Nothobranchius furzeri: one gene and its partner. The protein of the gene in region 1 interacts with the protein of each later gene in a biochemical or structural test. Links are inferred from orthologs where the notes say so. Each region holds a gene or a part of one and is shown in the gene's direction. Other genes may lie near its edges.

Region 1 (4,788 bases):
CAATGCCCTGGTCCGGTAGAATGAGCCCTGGCATTTTACTGTGATTGCCTGTTTTTCTGTAAAATCACAGAAAAAGAGAGCTGCTCGGGTCGAGCAGGCTGCTTCATGCGCGTTCACGCTCAGGCATAGCCCTCCGAACCATTCGTTGAACGTTGTTTCAGCTGTCATCAAGAATATAAATGTTACAGATGGTTTAGCTCGCCTGGTAAGATTTGGGGCTTTTGTGCAGAAGTCCCGGGTTCAGTTCTGAATGTGAACATAGTTATTTTAGAGTTTCTTTTTTACATTAATGGTATATTTTTTTACAGTAAGATGCCCAAATTTTTATTTGAGACTCGCCGAACGGCATTGAATTCACAGATAAAAAAAGATGTGGGTCCAACTTTCATTTTGGAACAATTTTTTAAGCAAGGGAAGGGAATGATCTGAGCATGCAGGAGGACTGACCCATCATAAACCTTTGTCGGCTGTGCTGAAGAGAAAGGTACAGAACCAAATTATTTAATTAATTAGCTGCATGTTCTCCTGTCCTCTGTCCTCCGGGACACACACACACACACACGGGACTGTCTCAGCTGCTATTTTCGTTAAGGAGTGTGCACGTACGGCATGCGCGCCTCGTGCACGAGCCTCCTATTGAAGCTGTCGTTACGCTTTTGGCCTGAGGGGGCAATCGCGAGCATAAAAATTCTAAACTCCGTAAAGTTCCTTTAAAACATTTAAATAGACCAAGACATAAATACTCTGCACAATGAGCACATAAGGGGTGGGGTTTAGTACATAGTTAAGTCATTTTAGAGGTTTCAAAATAAAATACAGCATGAAAAAAGGAAAAAGTTGCTAAACCCGTGACGAGAACTTTATTGAAATACAAACAAAAGCTGATAAAAAGCATATTCATATATTTTTATGAAACAGAATCCATGAGAGTATGATTGTTTGTGTTTATTTTTCACTGTATTAAAATTACCTGGTATTCTGTTATTAAATTATAAACTATGACTTCCATGCACATAGCTAATAATATTAATTAATATATTATAATATTACATTTTCTGATTGGTTTAAGTTGAGTCTTCGGACATCCATAAAAAACATCAGCGTGTCCAGTGTCCACACGGAGACCTCTTCAGCTCCCCTCAGCTTTTCCCACTTTCTGTTTCCTTCCTTTGTTCAGTAGTAGCAGCTTGTTCTCCCAATCCTAATTATTACTGTCACTGTCCTCTTTCTCCACCTCCTCCTCGTCTTCCTTCTCCTAAAGCGGTGGTCCTTCATCGGGGACAGCTCCTGGGTTTGAGGGGTAAGTGGGACCTCCCCTCGTCTCCCCCGGCCAAACCGTCCAATCTCTTGAGACTGTTTTATTTTTGAATTTTCATCTTTCAGTTCTTCCTTCTCTGATTAATTTCCTGAAAATAAAAGTATTCCGTGTTTATTGTTTTGTCAGAGAGATGTTTGACTTTTTAGATGCATGTCATCAGTTATTGTGACTTTAATAAAACGTTACGTGCAATGTAGAAGTTAGTATATGTGTTGTTTATGGTTTCTGTTATGTTTATGATTTGCTTGTGAACGTTCTCGTCGTCTCTCGTCCCTCTGCTCCAGCCAATAAGGTGTCTCCCACGTCCTCCGGAGGCGTGATCCACGTCTACAGTGATGACGGATCAGAGAAGAGCAGCGGCAGCTTCATTCCCTACTGCTCCATGGCACAAGCCCAGCTGTGTTTCCATGGACACCGTGATGCTGTTAAGTTCTTTGTCTCCGTACCGGGTCAGTAAACGCCGAGATTAGGTTTAGAGCTCCTGCTGTTTCAGACCCAAGCTTATATTTAAAGAGCAAGTCACCCCCAAATCCACTTCTTTTTTGCTGATTAACTATATAAATGAGTGTCTAACCAAGCTGTAGACACATGCAATCATTTGGCACTTAAGTGCATCTTAGTTAACATTTAAATATTCTGCCTAAAACTGTCATTGTTGCACAGTTTTCAGGTAAAAACTCTGCATTGCATTTAAATTTAATCTGCCATTGCTATAGGCTAAGAAGTACACTATGATGTCAGCTGTTACATTATGAGGTCACAATATCATGTGTGTGTAGTCTTGCCAGGCAACAGCATTTTTTGCATTTTTCAAACAGGAAGTGGGAGTGGAGTAAGACTCTGGCAGGGGGTGACTTGCTCTTTAAAACGTTTAGATTATTTGGTTCAGATTAAATGGGCCTATGATTGGGGTTGTACCTGCGAAAATTAATGTGATGTTTTTAGATTGTTATTTTAACAATTAATGCAAAGTTTTGGGCTGTATTTTATGACAGGCAACGTTCTGGCCACCTTGAACGGCAGTGTTCTGGACAGCCCGTCAGAAGGGCAGAGCTCCACGGCACCAACAGAGACGGAGGAGCAGAGTGTTCACAACGTGTTGGTGTTGAGCGGGGGCGAGGGCTACATCGATTTCCGCATAGGTAAACACACACACACACTGCTATCAGAACACCCAATTAATAAAAGAAAAAATTTAAATATTAGCTAATGTTTTCCAATATAATTTATTCATATTCTGTCTGTCTTAGTTTAAAAATGAACTGAATTGGTACGGTTGCTTTTCTAAGGTGGTAAAAATAAAGAAACCCTACAACAGCTCATCTAACTGGGAGTTTAAAGCAAAGAAAGGATGTGTTTTCAGGAGAAATTAGAAGTTTTTGTGTGTTTTCCTGCCAGATTCCACCTTTAGATCTTTTCCAAACATTTGCGTAAAAAGCTTCGTGGATCTGTTAAAATATGAATGTAAAATTATAAATACCACAAAATAAAATTTCAAATTTGAATGACTTTGATTCAAATGTAACTAGAATTGTAGTTCCTTTTGTTTCCAGGTGGCACTAGAGGCACGGTGCAACCCTAAAATGTCAAAAAAACATTTTTTTAAATTAATAAATAAAATTCTGGTTTCCCAACAAATGGAATAAAAGAGTGAAAGAAACTAATCACAAGTATTTTTCATCCTTTTTTTTTAAATAATTCTAGCCTGACTAGCTGTTGAGTTGGATTGGTTCGTCCTCCACAGGTGACGGAGAGGACGATGAGACGGAGGACGGAGACAACAGTGGGGCTTCACAGATGAAACCTGCTTTGAGCAAGGCTGAGCGGAGCCACATCATCGTCTGGCAGGTGTCTTATGTCCCAGAGTGACACCGGAGTTTGTCTTGGAAGCTTCCAGCCATCCAAACCTTGCAATTCCCCCCCATCATGTAAAAGTTCCCCTCTGGCTGTAAAACTACCCTCTGAGCTTTGCATTGTTCCTGTAACTAATAAACCTCCTCCTGTCCCTCCATCTCCTCTGATCTAGTTATCTGCCTGACACCCTGTGTCCGTCACACAGGAAGCTGTAACCATCACCATAAACCTCATTATCTACCTCCCTACATCCATCCCCGTCCTCTCCCTCGGCTGTCCTGCAACAGCTGCTCCTTGAGTTTATCTGTAAAAACGTCACCTCCTCTTCCAGATCCCATCAGATTCCCCAAAAACAAGTAAAAGTGTGAATGTCGGCCAAGAGTCTGGTTTCACCCGCTGACTTCTATTTATCTCGTAAAGGTAACAGATGAGTGAAAGTCTGATAATCTGGTTTGTTTTGACTAAAACGTTTTGTTTAAAACCACCAGGGTGAAACATCTCCAGCTTCCTGATGCAGGTCAAAGGTCGGATCATGTTCATATTCACACAGAGGGGTGTGATGCAGGCGAGCGCTGGCATGTTATTTATGTACAGGGATAAAAACTGTAAATGTCAAGATGCATCCTCCCGGTTCAGTATAGAAATCTGTGCATTGATCTCTTTATCTGTGGATTAAATATTAAACATATTTGTGTGCTGAAAGCAGCGAGTGGTGTGTGGTTCGCTTCACAACAAACACGCGTAAAATGACTGATTTGTTGTTGCTTTAGTAACGGATAAATGCAGCTGGGCTGGTTTAGTAAAAACGTGTTCAAGTACAGATTCACCTTAAAGTCAAGCTTCATATGAAAATATAAAAACACATGAAAGCTGCAAACTTTACATTCAAGTCCTTCCACATGATCATTTTCACAACTCTGAACAATCTGAAGTCAAAGATGCTGATATTTGGATAATGACACATAACCGTTTTTTGCAAGTCAAACAGATTATAAACATCTCAGCTCAATGGAAAGCTGAGCCGTCAGGTTGTTGCACACCTGACAGGTGCAGGATGTGTTCATTTAACACAAATAAAGGTGCATTTACCTGATAAACAATCCTTTCATCTAAGTTTTACAATCTGAACTGAAAAACAAAAACCAGAAGACAGCACTGGCGTCCCTTATTGAGGCATTGCCCATGTTAAAGTCTTACTTTAATAAAAATGTAAACAGAGAAATGCAATAAGGCAGAGATGACCGTTCTGTGTAACTAGATACCTGCTAAAGCCAAAACAAAGCATGTCTGAGGAGGATCTATTTGGTGTTCAGGTCTGCAGGTGTTCATGTGGGACGGGATTAAGCTGCTGTCAGTAGATCCAACTGGTGCTGCAGCTCTCCCAGCGATGGAGCTCGTTCTGACCAAACCACAGAGAAATTTCCTTCATCGCGCTCTCCATCGAGTCGCTGCCATGGATCACGTTCCTGAACATGCAGAAACAAAAGTAATGATCACTCCTTTGGAAACATAGTCCCTCCAGCATATCCTGGGTCTTCCTTTGGGTCTTTTCCCAGCTGGACATGCCTGGATAACGTCACCAGGGAGGAGTCCAGGAAGCATCCTAACTAAATCTC
Region 2 (4,785 bases), on another chromosome or scaffold:
GCAATTGAAACGAAAACTAATGATGGGTGTTTTGACCACGCCAGTCACGTACTTTGAGATTTATCAGCTTGTAAAAGTTCATAATTAGCATGACTAGACACCAGAAATTGCATGTTGAACATGTGACGTCACCACATAATCTCCTCTCTCCTAACATAGCTGCTACTTACCAAATTACCAGATTTATGGTGGTGCTTTCCATCTGTGGGAAGTTTGCAGAACTTATAGCCTTTTTCCCTCCGTTTTCTCCGTGTCTGGTTTGATGACATCACTTTCATGAAGTGCATTTGTAGGTCTGGACTTCATTTCACACAAAACCTAAAATAGCGTCCCCCCCTCCCGTTAGAAAATAAGCACGTTCTTGGTAACAAAATGTGTCTGCTGAATTCACGAACATCATACTGTATGTGAAATCCATGGCACAAAACAAGCAGAATTAGAAAATAGCATTCTTAGCCCCACTGACTTGCATTCATTTCGTTCTTCCGGGGACCCATGGTCTGGAAGTAGATGGGCATGACTTAGGCTCCCTATTGGCAGAGTCATGTTGCTGTTAGCCAATCAGAAGAGAGATGTCCAAATATCCAGAAAAAAAGATTCCAAATCCTGCAGTCCGAAGCTCAGGCCTGATGTGGCTCACTTCTAGTTCCTGAAACAGGCGCACTATTGCTTTTTTCCCCTAGACTATGACTTACAAAGCAATCAGAGTGAACCACACCTTTAAAATGTTGAGTGATTCCAGAGGAAAAGGCCTTATTCTAAGGGCCGACTTGTATTGATATTTTAAAGAAATTATTTAGATAAATCCATGTTCAGAGAGAAATGATCTCCAACTGTTCATCAGAAGCCTGTGGTTGTGGTGAGAGAAAAAGCGTATGGTGATTGAGCCAGAATCACGATAAGTCAGTGAGACAGTGTAGCTGTGTCCTGGTAAGTGAAGTAGTAATCACGTGGGACTGAAGCAAAACAACACATCAGATATGATCTTATCTTCTTCCTTCTGTTGTTTAATCCTGATTTTAAAGATCTGATGTAACTTATATTCACGCAGAATTTAATGGAAATCAGTGTTCATTTCATGTGATAAATATAAATGTACTTAATGTTTATTCTTATTTATTTTTATTTTTGTACAATTTTCATATTAACACATCATGTTGTGTCTGTCAGAGATACTTGAACAATGGGAATGTAAATATTGGTTTTGTAGGTGCTCCATAAAAAATATTTACGTATTTAATCTTTGTTCTGGGGAACTAATTATGCACCAAATTAAGCCTTTTTTTCCAGTTACCTTTGGCTGAATTTAAACAAAACAGTAATTTTAAAAAGTTGGAGCCAGGGAAATAGTTTTCCAATTCATATGAAACAATCCAATATAATGCAATACATTATAATACAATGCAATATAACATAATATTTAATGTATTTTATACGAGGGCTGTGCAATTAATCAGATTGGCATTTCTATAAAAACAAGGTAATCAACAAAAGCATATACTGTAAAAACTAGTACTGTATTGTAGTAAGTACTGTTTTTTTTCACATTATCCATTGCAAGCATGCTCTTACAGATGCTTTTAATAATTTTTGCCCCTAAACTTACAAGTCCTGAGTCCTTGACACTGGTCAAGATAATTATGTTGCTGTATGGTCTGATCTTTCCCTCCTGACAGTCATAATGGCAAGCCCAATTATGTAACGGCTCCAAAGAGAAACTTTTCAGATATGTCTGCTGTGTGTGATGTGTTAAGAGTGCTCTAGTCCCCTCAGAAGCATGTCAGGGCAGCTCCAGTCTCAAGATGTTGGATGGTCATGGTCCAATATTAAAGACAAACAAGCATGCTGTATGTTGATTATGATGTGTAACCAATCAGAAAGTGATTTGAAGGAAGCACAGAGAATATTTCTTGGCCATGTTGGTTTACTTCAAAGTAACTTTGATTTTCAGAGATTCTGTGAGCTTTACACCACACACTGTAGGACCAGAACTGGCATGTCATTATTATTTATCGCCACATGTGGAGTCTCATGTTTTAAAAATTCTTGGCAATTTTTAAATCCTGCCATGTGAACCAAGCCCAAGTATACAAAACAACAAACTGCTATTTATATTTAAGACCTGAAAAACACACTCTGAGCTCCTGTAGCAGCTCTCCTCTGCTTGAACAGCACCACTGTCTCCCTACATTGTTCATAAATATTTTAAATAGAATGATAAATTTTACTAGAAAATTCCTGAATCAATTTTAAAAAGGGACCTGCCTGCTGGCACAAGATAGTGGCCATGTGCTAAAGAGGCCAAAAAAGATTGTCAGGGTGACCACCCCAAAATCATGATATTTGGGTGACATTAAGGTAAAAATAAAAATAAAAATCATGATATTGTTCATGCATATGTAAAAATGCCACTTTAGAGGGCCTGCCATCTAATTAATCAATTATGTGCATGTTTAATTGCTAATATTCACATTTTATGCTATTTTAGAGTGGCACAACATCAAAATGCAAAAAATTCACTGTTTTTAGCTAATAATTTCACCATTGTGAATCGAAACACTTAGAAAAGTAATAGCACACCTCCCACAGCCAATCCGCTCATTTCGATGTATAATTTGTGGGGGTGCGCGCTGCCGTTTGAGCCGCATTAATGTCCACGCAAGAGTAATAATAAAGAGAACAAACCCTCCTGTGAAGAACAAAAAGGGACCCGCTGGTTAATTAGTCGAGCTTTAAGCTACAGGAATGTTACAAGATCATTTATTTGATTTATTTCTTTTTCTCAAAAAGCCTGATGTTGGGCATTTTACAGCAAATCCTTGTATGATGAAAGTGTTTTGAAACACAACAAAACAGTTCCACTCTGCCACCTGCTGATGTAAACTGATGTCTGCAGCCTCTTTAAAATGTGAACTCTGGCTAATGTTTTCAGATGTTGTGTCAGTGCAGACTAAATTAATTGAGATAAAGATATCTTTCTTGAGCAACTTTACAGAAATTGATATGAGACAATGGAGCAATGTGCCTTATTGTCTTTATGAACATTGTTGTAGGTACAGCACTGTCTCTGCAGGAGCTCAAAGAATAAATAAACTTAAAGAAAAATGAACACCATGGAAACAAAACACTTTGTTGATGTTCACACAGGAAAACTCATCTTTTCCATACTTCGGTCGAATTTGCTCTTTCTTTTGGGCAAATTTTTCCTCATTGTTCCACTAACCTTCTTTGTGTGTGCACATGTGTGTATGTCTGTGTGTGTGCACATGTGTGTGTGTCTGTGTGTGTGTGTGTGTGAGAGAGATGGACATAATTACCCTCATCACATTTAATGTTCAAATCAAGTAATTGTTTTTTTTACTGGAGTTAAAACTGTTTAAAACTCCATGAACAACCATGCAACTGTTAAAACATATAACAAGTAAAATTATGTTTTGCTTTTTGTAGGTTTTTAATAAAGTGTGGCTTATTATTTTAGCCTACTGATGTTCAGATGTGCTTTCTATTCCTAATGACATAGTTCTGAAGCATGACAAAACCTGATGTCTAAAATCATAAATATTCTATGTGACCTCATCTTTTGATTTCAGGGCATCTGATGCTATCTAAATAGGTTTTAAATAAATTATTCTCTCTTAACTTTAGCCTCCACCCCAGATCTACGACAAACAGCTGGATGAGCGAGAACACTCTATTGATGAGTGGAAAGGTACTAAAGCCGCCGTTTCCCCTCCTATCTCATGTTTGCATGTCTACTTCTACTGATTATGTTTGTTGTGCTTCACTGACATTTCCTCTCTGTTTGCCTTGCCAGAGCTAATTTATAAAGAAGTGATGAACTTTGAGGAGAGAACGAAGAATGGCGTTGTGAAGGGACAACCTTCACCTTCAGGTACTCTCAGTGCATAAGCCTAATCGCTCTGTAAGTGAATTTAATATAAACTTAATGGAGTTTTCCCTTGTAAATAGAGATTACCATTGTGCTGTTGACCATGTGTCTCTTGTCTCTTGCATCCAATGTTAAGTGTTGTTAAGTTCAGTGGTGTCGTTTTGCTGTATTTGTATTTTAAAACCGTAAGAAGTACATTTATGTCTGCTAAACTGCTTTCTGCCACAGGAAATGAGAAGAAATGTTGTGTGTATATTTGTTTGTGCGTTTAACATGCGTCATAACTTAAGGTTTGGGTCTCGTGGTTTTGTCTGAAGGTGCAGATGAAGTTTTCCCACTGTAGGGAAAGTGCTGTTCTCCTAGTTCACCACAGGGTGGCAGTAAAAAGTAAAAAACAACAGCAACAACAACCAGATTCCAGATTTTGGGTTTGCTGTTTGAGTCAAAAGCAGATTTGAAAAGAAAACACCGCTGCAGATAAAATGTGCATCTGACAGTGACACTGATATTAATCTCATCTTTAAAAACTAACTAACAACTAACTAACTAACTAACTAACTAACTAACTAACCAACCAACCAACCAACCAACCAACCAACTGCCAATAATGTCTCATGAGCAGGGCTGAACTCATTAGCCTGGATTTATAACCAAAAAATTACATATTAAACAACAATAAAATGGTTAATTTAACACAAAAAAGCAAGAAGTTTGTCATCTCTGTGCTTCTCCTAATGTCTGTTTTGTTCAAATTGGCATTCTCCATTTTTTTCTCCGTTTCTGCAACCTCCAGTAATTAAGGAGATGGGCTGGTGTGTGGCGTCTGATGCTGAGCATGCCAGACGCACTGCAGGAGCTGCAGACAGCAGTATTTCACTGCAGCAAAGAAGCAGAGA

The links. The genes of interacting proteins can lie anywhere in the genome.
Region 2: the proteins of mapk8ip3 (region 1) and mapk10 form a complex in vitro, tested with the Homo sapiens proteins (3 studies listed by BioGRID, with this or other methods). The link is inferred for Nothobranchius furzeri from reciprocal best matches to the Homo sapiens genes MAPK8IP3 and MAPK10.

The regions. Positions count from the first base shown.
Region 1 is NC_091752.1:51,054,357-51,059,144, reverse strand, and holds the end of mapk8ip3 (C-Jun-amino-terminal kinase-interacting protein 3), read left to right. Parts: intron 1-1,232; exon of another isoform or gene 1,233-1,261; coding exon 1,262-1,300; exon of another isoform or gene 1,301-1,406; intron 1,407-1,602; coding exon 1,603-1,767; intron 1,768-2,313; coding exon 2,314-2,460; intron 2,461-3,062; coding exon 3,063-3,187; 3' UTR 3,188-3,329; downstream 3,330-4,788.
Region 2 is NC_091746.1:59,120,103-59,124,887, reverse strand, and holds part of mapk10 (mitogen-activated protein kinase 10), read left to right. Parts: intron 1-3,645; coding exon 3,646-3,709; intron 3,710-3,814; coding exon 3,815-3,892; coding exon of another isoform or gene 3,893-3,909; exon of another isoform or gene 3,910-3,922; intron 3,923-4,785. UniProt on the Homo sapiens protein: Serine/threonine-protein kinase involved in various processes such as neuronal proliferation, differentiation, migration and programmed cell death.